Linked DNA regions of Notamacropus eugenii. The protein of the gene in region 1 purifies or fractionates together with the protein of each later gene. This does not show direct contact. Links are inferred from orthologs where the notes say so. Each region holds a gene or a part of one and is shown in the gene's direction. Other genes may lie near its edges.

Region 1 (7,797 bases):
GACAAGAAGTATTTATTAGACTCTTACTAGGTACCGTGCTCTGTGGTCATCAAGAGTGACACAAAGACAAAAGTCAAATGACTGCCTGCCATCAATAAGGTTATCCTACTGAAGAGAGGGACAAGGTGGGGATAGTAAGGTAAGTATATACAAAGCAAACACACAGTTATCTTTTAAGAGGAAGCACTAACAATGGGGGGCAGAGGAAGGTGGATCAAGAAAAGCTTTAAGTAGGAGCTGGCCCTTGAGCTGAGCTTCTAAAAGATAGAGGTGAGGAGGAAAAATATTCCAGACACAAGGACAAGTCTATGCAAAGCCTGTACAAAGGTGGGAGGTGGAATGCTAGGCATAACTAATGGGAAGTAGGTCAGTTTGGCCAGAATGTACAGTGTATGAGGGGAAATAACATGAAAGTAGTCTGGAGAGATAGGCTTGGAATCAATGAAACATTAAAAAAAATATAATATATAACATTTAAAAAACTAAGTTTTTAAACTGTAAGTTTACAATTTCATATACATTCTTCACTGTCTTTTAAAATGGTTGTGTTTGTTAAATTCTTAATAACAAAAGAAAAAAGAAAGGCTGGAGTCTTTCACACATCAGAGTGTGGTTCTGACACATGAAGGGAAGAGTCCTTCTTCTTCCCTGACTCAGGCAACAGAATCACGGCTCAAGGAGCTAGAAAGCTCATTGGAGATCATCTAATCATAGGATAGTGGCCTTAGCACCAAGAAAGAGACCTCAGGTCATAGATGACTCATCCTCTGAATTTAAAGATGGGGAAAATGAGACCTGGAGAGGCTTACTGACCCGCCTGAGATCACAAATGTAATAAAGACAGAGAGAGGATCTGAAACCATACCCTTAGTCCGACTTCCTTAGTTTTTAGAAGAGCATAGTGAGGCCCACTGAGGGCATGCTACCTGGCTCAGGTTTTATACAGGCAGAGAATTCCAAAGCTGAGATTCAAACCCAGGTGCTTTAGCCTCAAACACCAGGAGGCGTTCCCTTTTAAGTTCATTTCCTCATCTGTAAAATGAGGATAAGAAATGCTGGCCAGGGGCTGTGGAAGAAAAGCAGACAGGCAAATGATGATTACTACGTTCCACCCAGTCATATGTTCTGTACATGTCCCAGGCTCATGCTCCTCCCTTAGCCCACAACTATCCTGCTGAACCCACAGTTACCTGCTGGTGTCCTAGTCATCTTTCAAAGCCAAGTTCAGGTACTTGCATCCTCCTCAAGGAAGCCTTCCCCCATTTTTGTAATCATCTAGCATTAATTTTTGACTTTTCTTGGGTCCTGATACAATTTTGCCAGCTGTGGAGTTCTGGGTTCTGCCCTTCTATTCCTGAGATGTCAAATAATGGTGGAGAAAGCCACTGAAGCCATTACAAATTCATGCTATCTCACCCAGGAGCCTGGCAGTACTTCTATTTGTGAGAGGCAGCAGGCATCAATGCCAGAAAAGACCTAGGTTTGAGTCCTTCCTCTGACATGCTGGTGGTATGACACTGGTCAAGTTCTAATCTCTCGATGCTCTAGGAAACTCTCTAAGACTACTGGTATCTAAGACGATACCGAAATGCATAGGTTAAGGGAGTTTCTTCCCTGAAGAGTTCCCCATAACAATGACATCATGAAGCCAGTTTCTTTTCCTGATTGGCTCTTCTGTCATACCGTCCACAGTGCCTGCTCCCTACCTTTTCAGGCTCCTTAATTTCCACTCTCTCGGTATACCACCTTGATTCCTATTTTAGTATAACTGAATTCATAAGTCATGAACTCCTTCAATTTCTTCCCTCCAAAGCGCAATCCCTCTGCTTGTGCCTTTGGGACTCTTCAATTTCCCCCTCTTTACTGGGTCCTTTCCCTGAGGCTGCAAATTTGGTCAGGTCTCCTCCCAACTTTAAAATGAAACATTGGTTTAAAATTAATATATTTCTTCACCATCACTGTTAGACTGCTAGAAAGAAGAGTCGACATTCACTGTTTCCACTTCCTTACACCTTCCTATTCTGGTAATCCCCACAGTACTTTCAGCAGTCCTGAAAAAGCTCTCCCAAAGTTCATAGTTGCCTTTTCTAATCTTCCTTAACCTCAAACTTCCCCTAGTCATGTCTCCCACTTTTTCTGGATAGTATTCATTAATCTCCTCTTATTTATCTGATCACTCATTCTTCTGAGACCCCAGATCCATGTTGTACCTCCTAATTGTGAATGCCCCCCAAAATCTGTCTCCTACACTTTGTCCCTAGTTGACCTCACTAGCCCCATGGCCATAACTGTCACCTTTGGTCCTGGGTCCACTTCTTTCTTCTCTCTATTCTGTCTCCTCAGGTGATCTCATCACGCCCCATGACTATAGTTGTCACCTCTGCTCTCAGGGTTACCTCCTAATTCAGGTCATCATGGCTCCCTTGTACTACTATAAAACCTCATAACTATGCATCCAGTCTGTTTTTTTCTCATTAATTTTCATACAGGTGACAAAATATTTTCTGTTTTTTACTCTGCTGATCAAAAATCTTCAAGGGTTCTCTGCCTCTAGAATAAAATTCAAACTCCTCAGCATGGCATTTAAAGTTACGAACAATCTGACTCCAACTAATCTTAACAGCCTTGTTTCAGCCCATTTCACATATACTACTTTTTCACTGGTCTTACATGTCTTGTCTTCAGCTTCAGTGAATTAACATTAGCACAGGCTCTCCCTGCCTCTCCCCCAGCAGGAATTCGATCTTTCCTCTCCTTGGACTCTTGTGAACCTTCCTTCTCTTAACCTTAAGACTTAAGCTCAGTTGTTACCTCCTCTAGGATGCCTTCCTCCTTTTCATCTTCTTCCCCATCTACTCACAACACCTCCCTTCCTCCTTCCAGCAAAATGTCAATTTCAGGCAGAAGTTATCTTTCATACCCACATTCCCAGTGGTCCTTCCTACCTAGGACATCAGGGAACTTCCACCAACACTTAATTTCTAAGTTAAGAGATGGACAACATTTTTGCAACAAGCATCCCTGATAAGGGCCTCATTTCTCAAATAAGTGGAGAACTGAGTCAAATTCCCCAATTGATAAATGGTCAAAGGATATGAACAGGCAGTTTTCAGATAAAGAAATCAAAGCTATCTAGTTACATGAAAAAATGTTCTAAACCACTACTGATTAATGTAAATGAAGCAACGCTGAGGTACCACCTCATACCTTTCAGATTGGCCAATATGACAAAACGGGAAAGTGTTAGATGTTGGACGGGATGTGTGAAAACTGGGACACTAATGCACTGCTGGTGGAGTTGTGAACTGATCCAACCATTCTGGAGAGCAATTTGGAACTATGTCCAAAGGGCTATAAAACTGTGCATATCCTTTTGATCCAGAAATACCATTGCTAGGTCTATATCCCAAAGACATCCAAAAAAAGGGAAAAGAACCTATTGTACAAAAATATTTATAGCAGCTCTTTTGTGTTGGCTAAGATTTGGAAATAGAAGGGATGTCCATAAATTGGGGAATGGCTAAACAAACTTGGTATATGATTGTAATGAATAATGAAATATTATGGAGCTATAAGAAATATCAAGCAGGATGATTTCAGAAAAACCTGGAAAGACTTGCATGAACGGACGCAGAGTGAAGTGAATAGAACTGGGAGAATATCATACACAGTAAGAGCAATACTGATCGATCAAGATTGTAAACATCTTAACTCTTCTCAGCAATACAACGCTACAATACAAAACAACCCCGAAGTATACTACGCACCTCCTGAGAAAGAACTGATACAGCTGCAACAGTGAGCACGCTACTTTTCGTTTTCTTTTATTCTAGTCTTGCACAGAATGCCTAACATGGACATGTTGTGCATAAATGCACACACATAACCCACATCTGACTGCTCACAGTCTCAGCGGGGGTGGGGGGGTGCAGATAGAATCTGGAACTCAAAATTTTAAATAAAACTGTGAAAGTAAAAGAGAGAGACGGACAACAAGGACCAAACTCGGAGGTGAAAAGGCCTTACCCCCGTCTGCGCCCCCCGCCTGCGCCCGCCGCCTCGCCCCCCGCCTCCCCGGCGCTAGGACACAACCCGGCAGGCATCAGACGGGAATGAGCCAGAGCAAGCAGTCCCGGGGGAACCCGCTCTGCCCTCCTCCGGCCCGACACCACCGAGCCCTCCGGGGCTCTCGAACACAGGCACACGCAGCGGGGGAAGGTCGCACGGACACTAGGGCTCAGCGAATCTGGGCCCACGATGAGGGGGAGGGTTAGGACACGCTGACACCGGGTCCCAAGAACCCTGGGGCCCGCGACAGGAGATGGAGCGTCAGGCGAACACAGCGGCCACGACGCAATCACGGGGTTCCCACGAGCCTCAGACCGGGCCCGCGACCCAGGGAGGGCGTCACGCAGACCCCGGGGGGCGGGGAGGGGGAGGACACGCGGACACGCGGACGCGCGGCTCACGGGAAGCCCGGCGCCCACCGCACAGCGGGGGGTATCGCGCCCACGCTCGGGGCAAACACTCACCTTGATGCGCGGCGCCCGCCCGACACTGGCGCGTGGGGTCGGGAGCGGGCGGGCGGCCGGGGCCGGGGGCTCGTCGGCCCACTCGGGCTCCTCGAACATGGGGGCTGCGAGGCCACGTGGGCCTCCGCCACCGCCGCCAGCCCGGGAGCAGCGAGACGACGCTGCGCTGGCAGAGCGGCCGCTCCGCCCGCCGGCGACCAGCGAGAGGAGGCTTCGGGCGGCCAGAGCGGCTGCGTGGCGAGGGGCGGGGCCGGGCCGGGGCGGGTGTGGCAGGACTGGCGAAGGAGGCAGCGGCCGGAGCGGGCGGCTGGCGCGTCTGGACCTGGACCCGAGCCCCGGTGAGCGATCGTGCGGGCCTGCACCTGCCCCTGGGGTTGGGGAGATGGGGGCGGGGCCACGAGCCCATTTTACAGAGGAGGAAACTGAGGCCTGAGGGTGGGAGGGAGCCTCCGGCGGTCCGCGGGCCTGGAGAGAAGGCGGGCGGAGTCCCGGGTCCAGCCTCACGGCTGCCGCCGGGACGCCGTGTAATCGCGGGCCTGTCCCGACTCTCTCTCGGGGCGTCGGGCCCCTTAGCTGCCTCGGCGGGGCTCCGGGCAGTCTGCGCCGGGGCCTCCCCCCACCCTCGTCTGGGGCGGGGGTGGCTTCGGGGAGGGGAAGGGGACAACGCCCAGGACCAGCCCAGCTTGGATGGAGTAGTGGTCTTCTCACCCTGGGGCACTCCCAGCACCCACGCAGATAGCAGCTTAGTTAACTGTTCGGTGAGTTGCGGTGGCAGAAGATAAGCAGAAGATAATTTGTTCCCCGGGGACAAACTTCTCGCGTGGAGCCTCCGAGCCTTAGCCCAGCTGGTCCTCCCTCGACCGACACTCTGGGTCGTGCTGTGCTGGTGAAGCCCCGGGAGGACTTGGTTCCAGGCTTATCTTTGCCCAGTCAGGATACTAGTCTGGAGACGAGTGTATGGATTCAAGTGGGGTGGGGGGGCGTAGAAAAGCATGCCTTCTGTAGCTCACACACCTTCTTAGGGCTTAAGAACCTTCTTAAGGTGCCAACTGTTGTCCTTTTTAGTCAGGACCACCCCTGAAAGGGATGTGTGTGGTACAACTAGGAAGAATTATCAAACATGACTTTCCCAAGAAGGGTATCTAACATCATCTTCTGCAACCTTCCCCCATCCAGCTGCTCGGGGAGTGGGGGTGACCAACTAGGACGTAAAGTGGGAGAGAAAGTTAGGGAGCTAGCTCTTCTCTTTGGGAGGAGGTAGTAAGTCCTGATAACCCTATGCCCACATTGATTAGTACCTCTCCCCCATCCTCCTGACTATCCAGGGTCGTAAGAAGCTGTCACCATGGACGACATTTTCACTCAGTGCCGGGAGGGCAATGCTGTGGCTGTTCGTTTGTGGCTGGACAACACAGAAAACGACTTGAACCAAGGGTGAGAGGATCTGAGGGGAAAGTTGGCAAGGAGGTGTGTCTGGGCAGGGCAAACAAGGCTCCGGAAAACCTTGGTGTAATAATGTATATTTTTGGTATCTAGTCCGCAGCCCTTTCTTGCCCTTTGCTTCGACAGTGCCTCTACTTTCTGTGATCCATACCTTCTCCTAACACTGGGACATATGGAGGGGACAGGTGATGTTGGGTGGGATTTTTTTGTTTTGCAGAAAAAAGAAAGGATACACAGGACATCCACAACTGGGCTGGGGAACACAAGTTGGAAGTGGAATATGTTTGGTGGAAACATTGGGATAGGGTTTCAGGGCCTAGGTTCCTGGTACAGCTGAGCAAGATGAAGACCCCAATTCTTGCCCTTAGAGTGGGGAAGATGAGGCCCCTATATATAGAACTCTGAAAAGCAGAATGTGAAAGTGTTAGGGAATTCAGAAGACATCACATGCAGATCTCATTGGACTAGATATTCATTTCCAAAGTCTCAGATCTATGATTCTAATATTTCCCTTTTGGATTTCACTGCAGTCTTTGACAGTTTCTTATGGGAGTAGGACACAAGAGTTGTGAGCTCTAGCCTCTTGTTGTCTAGCCCCTGGGCTAGGAAAATTAGGCAGATTCAGACCTAAGAGTAATGGGTCAGTGTTAGGTTGGTGGAAGGTCTCTAAGTGGAATGGCCCAGGCATGTCCTTGACTTTTGCTGCTCAGCATTTTCATTATTGACTTGAGTAGAGGTCTAGATGGCACATCTATCCTATTTGCAGATGTCATGAAACTAGAAACAGTAGCTAAAAACTGGAAAACAGAATCAGGAACCAAAATCACCCTGTGAACCTATGATCAGGCCAAATCTAATATGATGAAATTTCATAGGGATATCCAAGCATCTAGTCTTATTTTTGGATTAAGAATTGCAATTGCACAAATACCAGATTGTGAATGTGCAGCTAAACAATTCCTGTGGAAAAATTCTGGGGGATTTTATACATGTGGAATTATGAGTTAATAGGAGACTACAGTCAAAAAAGCTAACTGCTACATTTGGAGACATTCATTCAGCCCACACTTTATTCAGCACTTGCCCTGTGCTAGGCAGTGGTAGTACAAAAGTAAAAATGAAGCATTCCCTCCTCTCAAGGAGCTTCCACTCCACTGGAGGAGAGGAGAGATCAAATATGTATATACATCAATCCAAAATGAATTCAAAGTGATTGGGAAGGCCACTGACACTAATGACAGGAGGGTGATCAGGAAAGGCCCCTTTTACCAAGGAGCACTTGAGCTGAGCCTGAAAAAAAGTCAGTAATTCTAGAAGGCCTAGGTGAAAAGGGAGTTCATCCCACTCATGGGGGACAATATGTATGGGTACAAAAAGGGCATAGAGGCTAGAGATGGGATGCCAAATTTGGAGAATAACAAACAGGCAGTTTTTCCTGAAAATTAGCATGTCCAAGAAAGAGTAATGGGAAGTCAGTCTGGATAGTTCAGAACTTCATTGACAAGAATTTTAAAAGCCAAAAAAAGAGTATTACATAGTAGAGGCAACAGTCACTAAACCTTCTTGAGCAGAGGAGTGATAGGGTCAGCCCTGTGTTTTAGAAACAAAAATTTGGAGGCTATGGATTGAATATGCCCAGTTAGGAGTCTTTTGCAGCAGTCTAGGCAAGAGATACCTAAAGGAGAGTGGTGGTTGTGTGAATAGAGAGGGGATTAGTATGAGAAATATTGTGGAAGTGAAATCTCAAAAAGCTTGGAAACTGATGGGTTGTGGTAGCTGAAGGAGGGTGAAAAATGAAAAATGATTCCAGTTTTTGAACGAA
Region 2 (7,218 bases), on another chromosome or scaffold:
GGCCCCTTGATCTGTGATAGTTAAGTGGAAGCTGTAGGTGCATGACCACTGTGCCTGAGGGAATCTTGACCCTCTGTGGGATTTCCTTGGCTTGTTACCCATTTCTAGGGGCTTTGAACCTATTGACTCAGAGATATAGGAGATGGGTGGGAGGAGAGGTGCGGTGCAGTGCTAACTCATGTCCCTATTTTCAGGTGAAGGCCTTCCTGGCCGACCCCTCCGCATTTGCAGTGGCCGCCCCTGTGGCAGCTGCTCCAGCTGCTGCTGCACCGGCTGCTGCCGCTCCAGCCAAGGTGGAAGCCAAGGAAGAGTCGGAAGAGTCTGATGAAGATATGGGATTTGGTCTGTTTGATTAGCCCACGGGAAACAACTATTTCAGCCAGTTTATTTGTGAAACAAAGGAATAAAAATGCTCATTTATCTCAGCCTCTGCTTCTTGTGTTCATACTTTTAACCACAAGAATTTATAAACTGTAAAATCTATAAAATGGGGATTATAGCCCCCACCTCTCTGGGTTGGGAGGAGAAATTGAAATAATCATTGCAAAGTCCTTTGTGCCTCTTCTAAATGGTGTAATGAAAAAATCTTGTGAAAACATGACAGAAGGGAGTGATGTGGGGTGGTTTTTCCAGTTTTTGATACTGGGATAGTTGTAGGAGGAGGGTGATGGATGTCTGAGCCAAGATCCCTATGAATCTCCGCTCCCATCTGTCCAGCTGTGTGCCTGTGGATCCTTATTGATTGCTTGTCTTTGTATTATCTCTGTCGTTTATAACCAGTTCAACAAATGAATGAAGTCCCAATTTCTATACCTGGAGCTGTAGTCTTCACCTGTGCCAAGGAGGGAGCATGCTCATTTATGTTGACAATGCATTTTCTGGTTCTTCTGCTTCACTTTGCATCACTTCATGGGCTGCCAGGCTTGCCTTTTTATTAGACTCATAAAACAAGTTTTTTGTCTACCACAAACCTGCTTAGCCATTGCTTGATGAATGGGCATCAGCTTTACATTTTGTTCTTTACTACAAAATGTTCTCCTTTAAACATTGTGTGAGTGGTGCTCATTCAGCATTGACAGAAATTACTTTGTATTTATGGGAGTAAGAACTTGTGAAGAGTCTGCTGTGTATGTGGCCTCCAAATGAGGAGGAGAGTGGGGAGCTTGAGGGCTGCCAGTGCTTGGATTCTTTTTCTGTTGCCTTCCATGTGCTGGAAGGAGCTTTAACGGACCAGATGGTCCATTTCAACTGCTGAGACAATTGCATAAAGTGATGAGCTACTCAGGGTTGATCAGGTATGTTATATGTCAGAGCTGGGGTTTGAACCAAATTGGAAGTTGTTAGCTGGAAATGGAACCAGGCTGTGAGGAACATGGAGGAAAAAAACCTCTCTATTTAGGATATAAACTTCCCCTCAAAACTTTTTTTTGGTTACATTTGCTGACTTTTTTTAAATACATAATTTCTTTTTTGTTTTCAGCATTCACTTCCATAAACTTTTTGAGTTTAAAATTTTTTCCTCCCCAAGACAGCATGCAATCTGATAAAGGCTTTATTGTTAAACGTTCATGTTCACATTAGTCATGATGTAAAGAAGGATCTAATGGGAGGAGCCATGAGAAGAAACAAAAGAAAAGGACAATAGTTCTTTCTCTGGATGTGTATGGTATTTTCCATCATGAGTCTTTTGGAATTGTTTTAGATCCTTGCATTGCTGAGAGGAGCTAGGTCTATCAGAATGAATCCTCTCATGCTGGCTGCTCCTGTGTATAATGTCCTGGTGATTTCTGCTGACTACACTCAGTGCCAGTTCATAGAAGTCTTTCCAGGTTTTTCTGAAGTCTGCCCACTCATCATTTCTTACAACAATAGTATTCCATTACATTCATATACCACATGTGAAGAGAACTTGTCCAGCCGTTCCCCAATGGGTGGACATCTCAATTTCCAATTTTTTGTCACCACAAAAAGAGCTGCTGTAAATATTTTTGTTCATGTGGGCCCTTTTCCTGTTTTTATGGTCTCTTTGGGATACAAACCTAGAAGTATTGATGAGTCAAAGGGTATGAACCAGTATTTCATTAGTGTTCCAATTTTCCCACATCTCCAACGTTTATCATTTTCCTGATATGTTAGCCAATCTGATAGGTGTGATGTGGTACCTCAGAGTTTTGATTTGCATTTCTCTAATTAAACATGATTTAGAGCATTTTTTCATATGACTATAGATAATTTCTTCCTCTGAAAAAACACTTTGTAGCCTTTGACCATTTATCAATTGGGGAATGACTTGTATTTTTATAAATTCGACTCAGTTCTCTATATATTTTAGAAATGAAGCCTTTATCAGAGACACTGGCTATAAAATTGTTTCCCAACTTTCTACGTCCCTTCTAATCTTTGTTGCACTGGGTTTGTTTGTGCAAAAACTTCAATTTAATGTAATCAAAATTATCCATTTTGCATTTCATAATGTCCTCCATCTCATTTGTTCATAAATTCCTCTCCATAGAACTGACAGGTAAACTATTCCTTGCTTCCCTAATTTGCTTATTGTATCAGTTTTTATATGTAAATCACGTACTAGTTTTGACTAGCAGGGTTAGATGTTGGTCTATGCCTAGTTTCTGCCGTACTATTTTCCAGTTTTCCCAGAAGTTTTTGTTAGATAGTGAGTTCTTAGCCCAGAAGCTGGAGTCTTTGGGTTTATCTAACAGTAGATTACTACAGTCATCGCCCTCTGTGTCTTGTGTACCTTACCTATTCCACTGATCCACCACCCTATTTCTTAGCCAGTACCAAGTAGTTTTAATGATGGCTGCCTTATAAGACAATTTAAGATCTGGTACAGCTAGGCCATCTCCTCAAAACATTTAAAAAATAATTGCACTTTTAACACAACCCCTGAAAAAACAATTGACCTTTGGGTCTGTAAGCACCTGTTACAGGGGTGTTACTTTCTGTTATAGCACTGAGTCTTATTTGCACTTGAAATCTTAGGCAGTGTAGTATAGTGGGAGGTCACTGACCCGGCTTTTGGAGTCCAGAGCATGATTGAAGCCTGGCTTCTGCACAACAGCTGGTCTGAGATTCAATTTCCTCACTCATAACATGGTAATAATACTTTTCGTGACTATTTTACAGCATCATGAGAAAGATGCTTTGGAGTTTAAAAAATGTATTTGGGGAGTTAATGTTCCTTTCTGGATTTGTTGGGGGGCTGTGACATATAGTCGTGGAGATTGACTCAGGAGACCAGGCCCACGGACAGGAATCCTGGATGTTCACCAAAAATCTCTTTATTAGGACAGTGGACAGTTATGCATACGATGGACACAGAATTATGGGAATTAAGGGAAGGCTTCCTGAAAGGTCTAATGCTTGAGCTAAGTCTTGCAGGGAGCTCTGGAGAGGAGGATGCGGGTCCTTGTTCCCAGACCCAGACAGTCCATCTCCCCTCTCGGGGCATTCTCTCCGGCTCTTCCTCCTGCTCCAACCACTGACTTCCCTTTAAGTCCCCCCTAAAATCCCACCTTCTGCAGGAAGCCCCCCAACTTCTCTTACTTTTATAGGCTCTTCCCTCATTATTTTCTACTTATTCTGAAAACAGCGCATTTGTACATATTTGTTTGCATGTTGTCTCCCCCATCAGAGTGGAAGGAGGTCCTTGAGGGCAAGGACCGCCTTTGGCCTCTTCTTGCATCCCCAGCACTTAGCACAGTGTCTGGCATGTAGTAGGCGCTTAATAAATGTTGACTGATTGGCTGATCCTAGCCCCTTGCAAAGGCGCGGAGGTTGGAGATGAAGTGTCTTCCCGGGGGACATTTCAGGAACACTTGGAGCTGCTAACAGCTTTGCATGATTTAGCTTCGCCACTTTCCCCAACAATTCCGACGGTCTCCAGGAGCGCCCTGCCCTCCCCCCTTCCCCTCCCTCCTCCCTCCCCTCCCCCTTCCCCTCCCCTCTCCTCCCTTCCTGTCCTGGTGATCCCGGGACCACGTGCAGGGGATGGCTTGTCCCCGCCCACGCCAGCGCAGCAGGGGGCGGGCTCCGCCCGAGAGCTCCCAGGTGTCCCCGGGGCCAAGCTCGCGGGAGGGGGTGGGGCTCCGCGTCTCCATGGTGATTGGCCCCGCCTCCTGGTTCCCGGCGTGGGAGGGCGGGGCGAGGTGTGAGTGTGTGTATGAGTGTGCGTGAGCGTGCGGGCTCTGGGGTGACCCGGATGTGAGCCGAAAACGGTTCCGGGGTCAGAGCCGGCAGGATGGCGGCGGACACGCAGGTGAGGCTGGCGTCCCGGGGGGAGGGGGGGCGGCTCCGGCTACGGCCCGGGGCGCCTCGGGGCTCGGCCTCTGCGCGGCTGGGGAGGCCACGGAGGGAGGAGCCGAGAGACGGAGACCCCTAGAGGGCGAGAGCGAGCGACGTGGGCAGGGGCGGCTCCGCGGCCGAGGGACAGCTGCCGGTGCGGAGCGTCCGGAGCCGCCTCCAGCCGCACCGTCCCTCGCAGTCTCGGCTCCTCCGTTTCGGTCTCAGTCTCCCCGTTGCCAGCCTTCTCAACGCGTGCCCAGCCCCTGCCCCTTACTGAGCCCCCCTCGGAGCCCCACAATCTAAGGGAGCCCGCTGTGGGGTCACGAGGTCATTTGGTGTTGCTTCGTTTTACTAGAGGGGGAAACTGAGGCCTTGCGGCTGATCGGGCCAGGGTTCAGACTCACCCCAAATTGTGGGCGGCTGTCCCTGTCTGAAGAGAAGGGGCCTGGGCCGGGCAGCCCTGGGTGGGGGCCACGGGTCCGGCCAACCCTGGGTGGGGGCCACGGGTCCGGTCAGCCCTCGGTGGGAGCCACGGGTCTCCAGCCCTGGGTGCGAGCCCCGGGTCCGGCCAGTCCTCGGTGGGGGCCCCGGGTCCGGCCAACCTTGGGTGGGTCTCCAGCCCTCGGTGGGGGCCCCGGGTCCGGCCAGTCCTCGGTGGGGGCCCCGGGTCTCCAGCCCTCGGTGGGGGCCCCGGGTCCGGCCAGTCCTCGGTGGGGGCCCCGGGTCCGGGCAGCCCTGGGTGCGAGCCCCGGGTCCAGCCAACCCTCCGTGGGAGCCCCGGGTCCGGCCAGCCCTCGGTGGGAGCCACGGGTCTCCAGCCCTGGGTGCGAGCCCCGGGTCCGGCCAACCCTGGGTGGGGGCCCCGGGTCCGGCCAGTCCTCGGTGGGGGCCCCGGGTCCGGCCAACCTTGGGTGGGTCTCCAGCCCTCGGTGGGGGCCACGGGTCTGGCCAACCCTGGGTGGGTCTCCAGCCCTCGATGGGGGCCCCGGGTCCGGCCAGTCCTCGATGGGGGCCCCGGGTCCGGCCAGTCCTCGGTGGGGGCCCCGGGTCTCCAGCCCTCGGTGGGGGCCCCGGGTCCGGCCAGTCCTCGGTGGGGGCCCCGGGTCCGGCCAGCCCTCGGTTGGGGCCCCGGGTCCGGCCAACTCTCCGTGGGGGCCCCGGGTCCGGCCAGTCCTCGGTGGGGGCCCCGGGTCTCCAGCCCTCGGTGGGGGCCCCGGGTCCGGGCAGCCCTCGGTGGGGGCCCCCAGGCCGGGCTCTCCTGACAGCAGAGGGGATGAAATTTAGGTGAAAAGAGAGGTCCCCAGACTCGGCCCAGGGCCCTGCGGGCCCAGCCTTGTCAGGGGCTAGGAGGGGAAAGGGAGAAGAGCCAGAAGGTTCCATTTCATACTTAAAAAGGGAAAGAGATTGAATGAGAGAAGCTGGACTTTAGGGGCCTCCATGGGCTTGGTGGGGGTCCCAGGTCTGTAAAAAGGCCAGGTGCCTTCTCTGTGCCTCAGTGATGACCTCTGTAAAAGGGGGCGTGCTGGACGAGAGCATCCTTTAATTCCACGATTGAGTGTCGAGGCTGGCCAGCCAGGTCACAGCAGGCTCTGTGGGCAGTTTTTGCGGATGCTATTTCATTGGAAAGCCTCCTGAAGTGCCATTTTTAGAGGGTCTTTGGGGGGTTTGCAAAGTTCCACAGTGCCTGTTGAGTTGTAGTAGCAGCCCCTGTGGGGAGCCGAAGCCCTCTGATCCTTCACAGAAGACCTCAGGCACCTCTTTAGTGTCAGACTGACATCTTAAGAGTAGGTAATCCCCTTGTTTTGGGGGAGAGGGAATGGCTTACATGAAAAACTTAACGATCATTTTTATTTTGGTGAAAGAGGAGAAGATGAATGAAAATGATAACTATAAAACTGAATTACGTGTGAGCATGTGTATATATGAATGTATATATGTACCCACATACGTATGTAGGTACATAGATTTAAAAAGGGATCATGAGGGAGCAAGGAAAGCCAGTGGTTTCCACGATGTCACTCCCTGCCTTCAGTCTTAGGTCTCACTGACTGCTGCTAGGCATAGGCTTCCTGAAATGTCTTCTCTGTGTCTCTGCTTAATTAATGTTGGCTGAAACAGGCCGAACCTAAGGGGTGATCAGCAGGTTTGGTTTCATGAGTGCAGGTGCTGAGGTTACAGGCCCCTGATGCGGAAAGGGTGTTACTTTCTGTCCTGAGGTCACTGACGTTCACCCTCTCATGGCTTTTCTATAGGCTGACTGACCCGCTGGCTGAGAGATTCTGTAATTTCTTTCTTTTCCCCCATATCTTGACCTGCTTTCTTGTGTGTATGTGTGTGTATATGTGTATGCATGCGTGTATGTAAATCTATGCATACATTCACGGGTGATCTCTTTGTGTGTGTGTATGTGTATGCGTGCATGTGTGTGTATCTGTGCATACATTCATATATTCACGGGTGATCTCTTTGTGTGTGTGTGTGTGTGTGTCTGTGGGTGACTTCTACAGGTTTCTGAGACGCTGAAGCGTTTCGCCGTAAAGGTGACTACAGCCAGTGTGAAGGAACGGAGTGAGATCCTTAATGATCTTGGGAAATGTGTCGCTGGAAGAGGTAAGTGAACGTTCATTTGTGTAGGAAGGGATATACACCATTTAAAGTGCAAATCACATTTTCATTAGCTCATGACTCTTTTTTTCCCGGGAATCCTCATTCAGGAGTACAAAGATGCCTTTTAAGCCAGAACGTTTATTTTTATGTAGTTAATAGTATATACAGTAAAAGCTTTGCCTGTTGGGATACGTTTAAAGAAATACAGTCTAGCAGGCTCCCCTCCAAAGGAACCATTCTTTTATAAATTATATTTAGATGATACTAGGAGTCCTTAAACTCCAGTTTTCATAGTTTAACAGATTAAGC

The links. Proteins that work in one complex are often made in the same cells at the same time.
Region 2: the proteins of ILK (region 1) and GCN1 purify together in Homo sapiens (affinity purification with mass spectrometry; 3 studies listed by BioGRID and IntAct, with this or other methods). This does not show direct contact. The link is inferred for Notamacropus eugenii from reciprocal best matches to the Homo sapiens genes ILK and GCN1.

The regions. Positions count from the first base shown.
Region 1 is NC_092876.1:88,829,791-88,837,587, reverse strand, and holds the start of ILK (scaffold protein ILK), read left to right. Parts: upstream 1-4,760; 5' UTR 4,761-4,870; intron 4,871-5,212; exon of another isoform or gene 5,213-5,290; intron 5,291-5,857; 5' UTR 5,858-5,877; coding exon 5,878-5,966; intron 5,967-7,023; exon of another isoform or gene 7,024-7,797. Other genes in the region: RRP8 (ribosomal RNA-processing protein 8), read right to left, coding at 4,533-4,631. UniProt on the Homo sapiens protein: Scaffold protein which mediates protein-protein interactions during a range of cellular events including focal adhesion assembly, cell adhesion and cell migration.
Region 2 is NC_092875.1:25,072,246-25,079,463, forward strand, and holds the start of GCN1 (stalled ribosome sensor GCN1), read left to right. Parts: upstream 1-4,118; 5' UTR 4,119-4,258; coding exon 4,259-4,276; intron 4,277-6,809; coding exon 6,810-6,912; intron 6,913-7,218. Other genes in the region: RPLP0 (large ribosomal subunit protein uL10), read left to right, coding at 195-356. UniProt on the Homo sapiens protein: Ribosome collision sensor that plays a key role in the RNF14-RNF25 translation quality control pathway, a pathway that takes place when a ribosome has stalled during translation, and which promotes ubiquitination and degradation of translation factors on stalled ribosomes.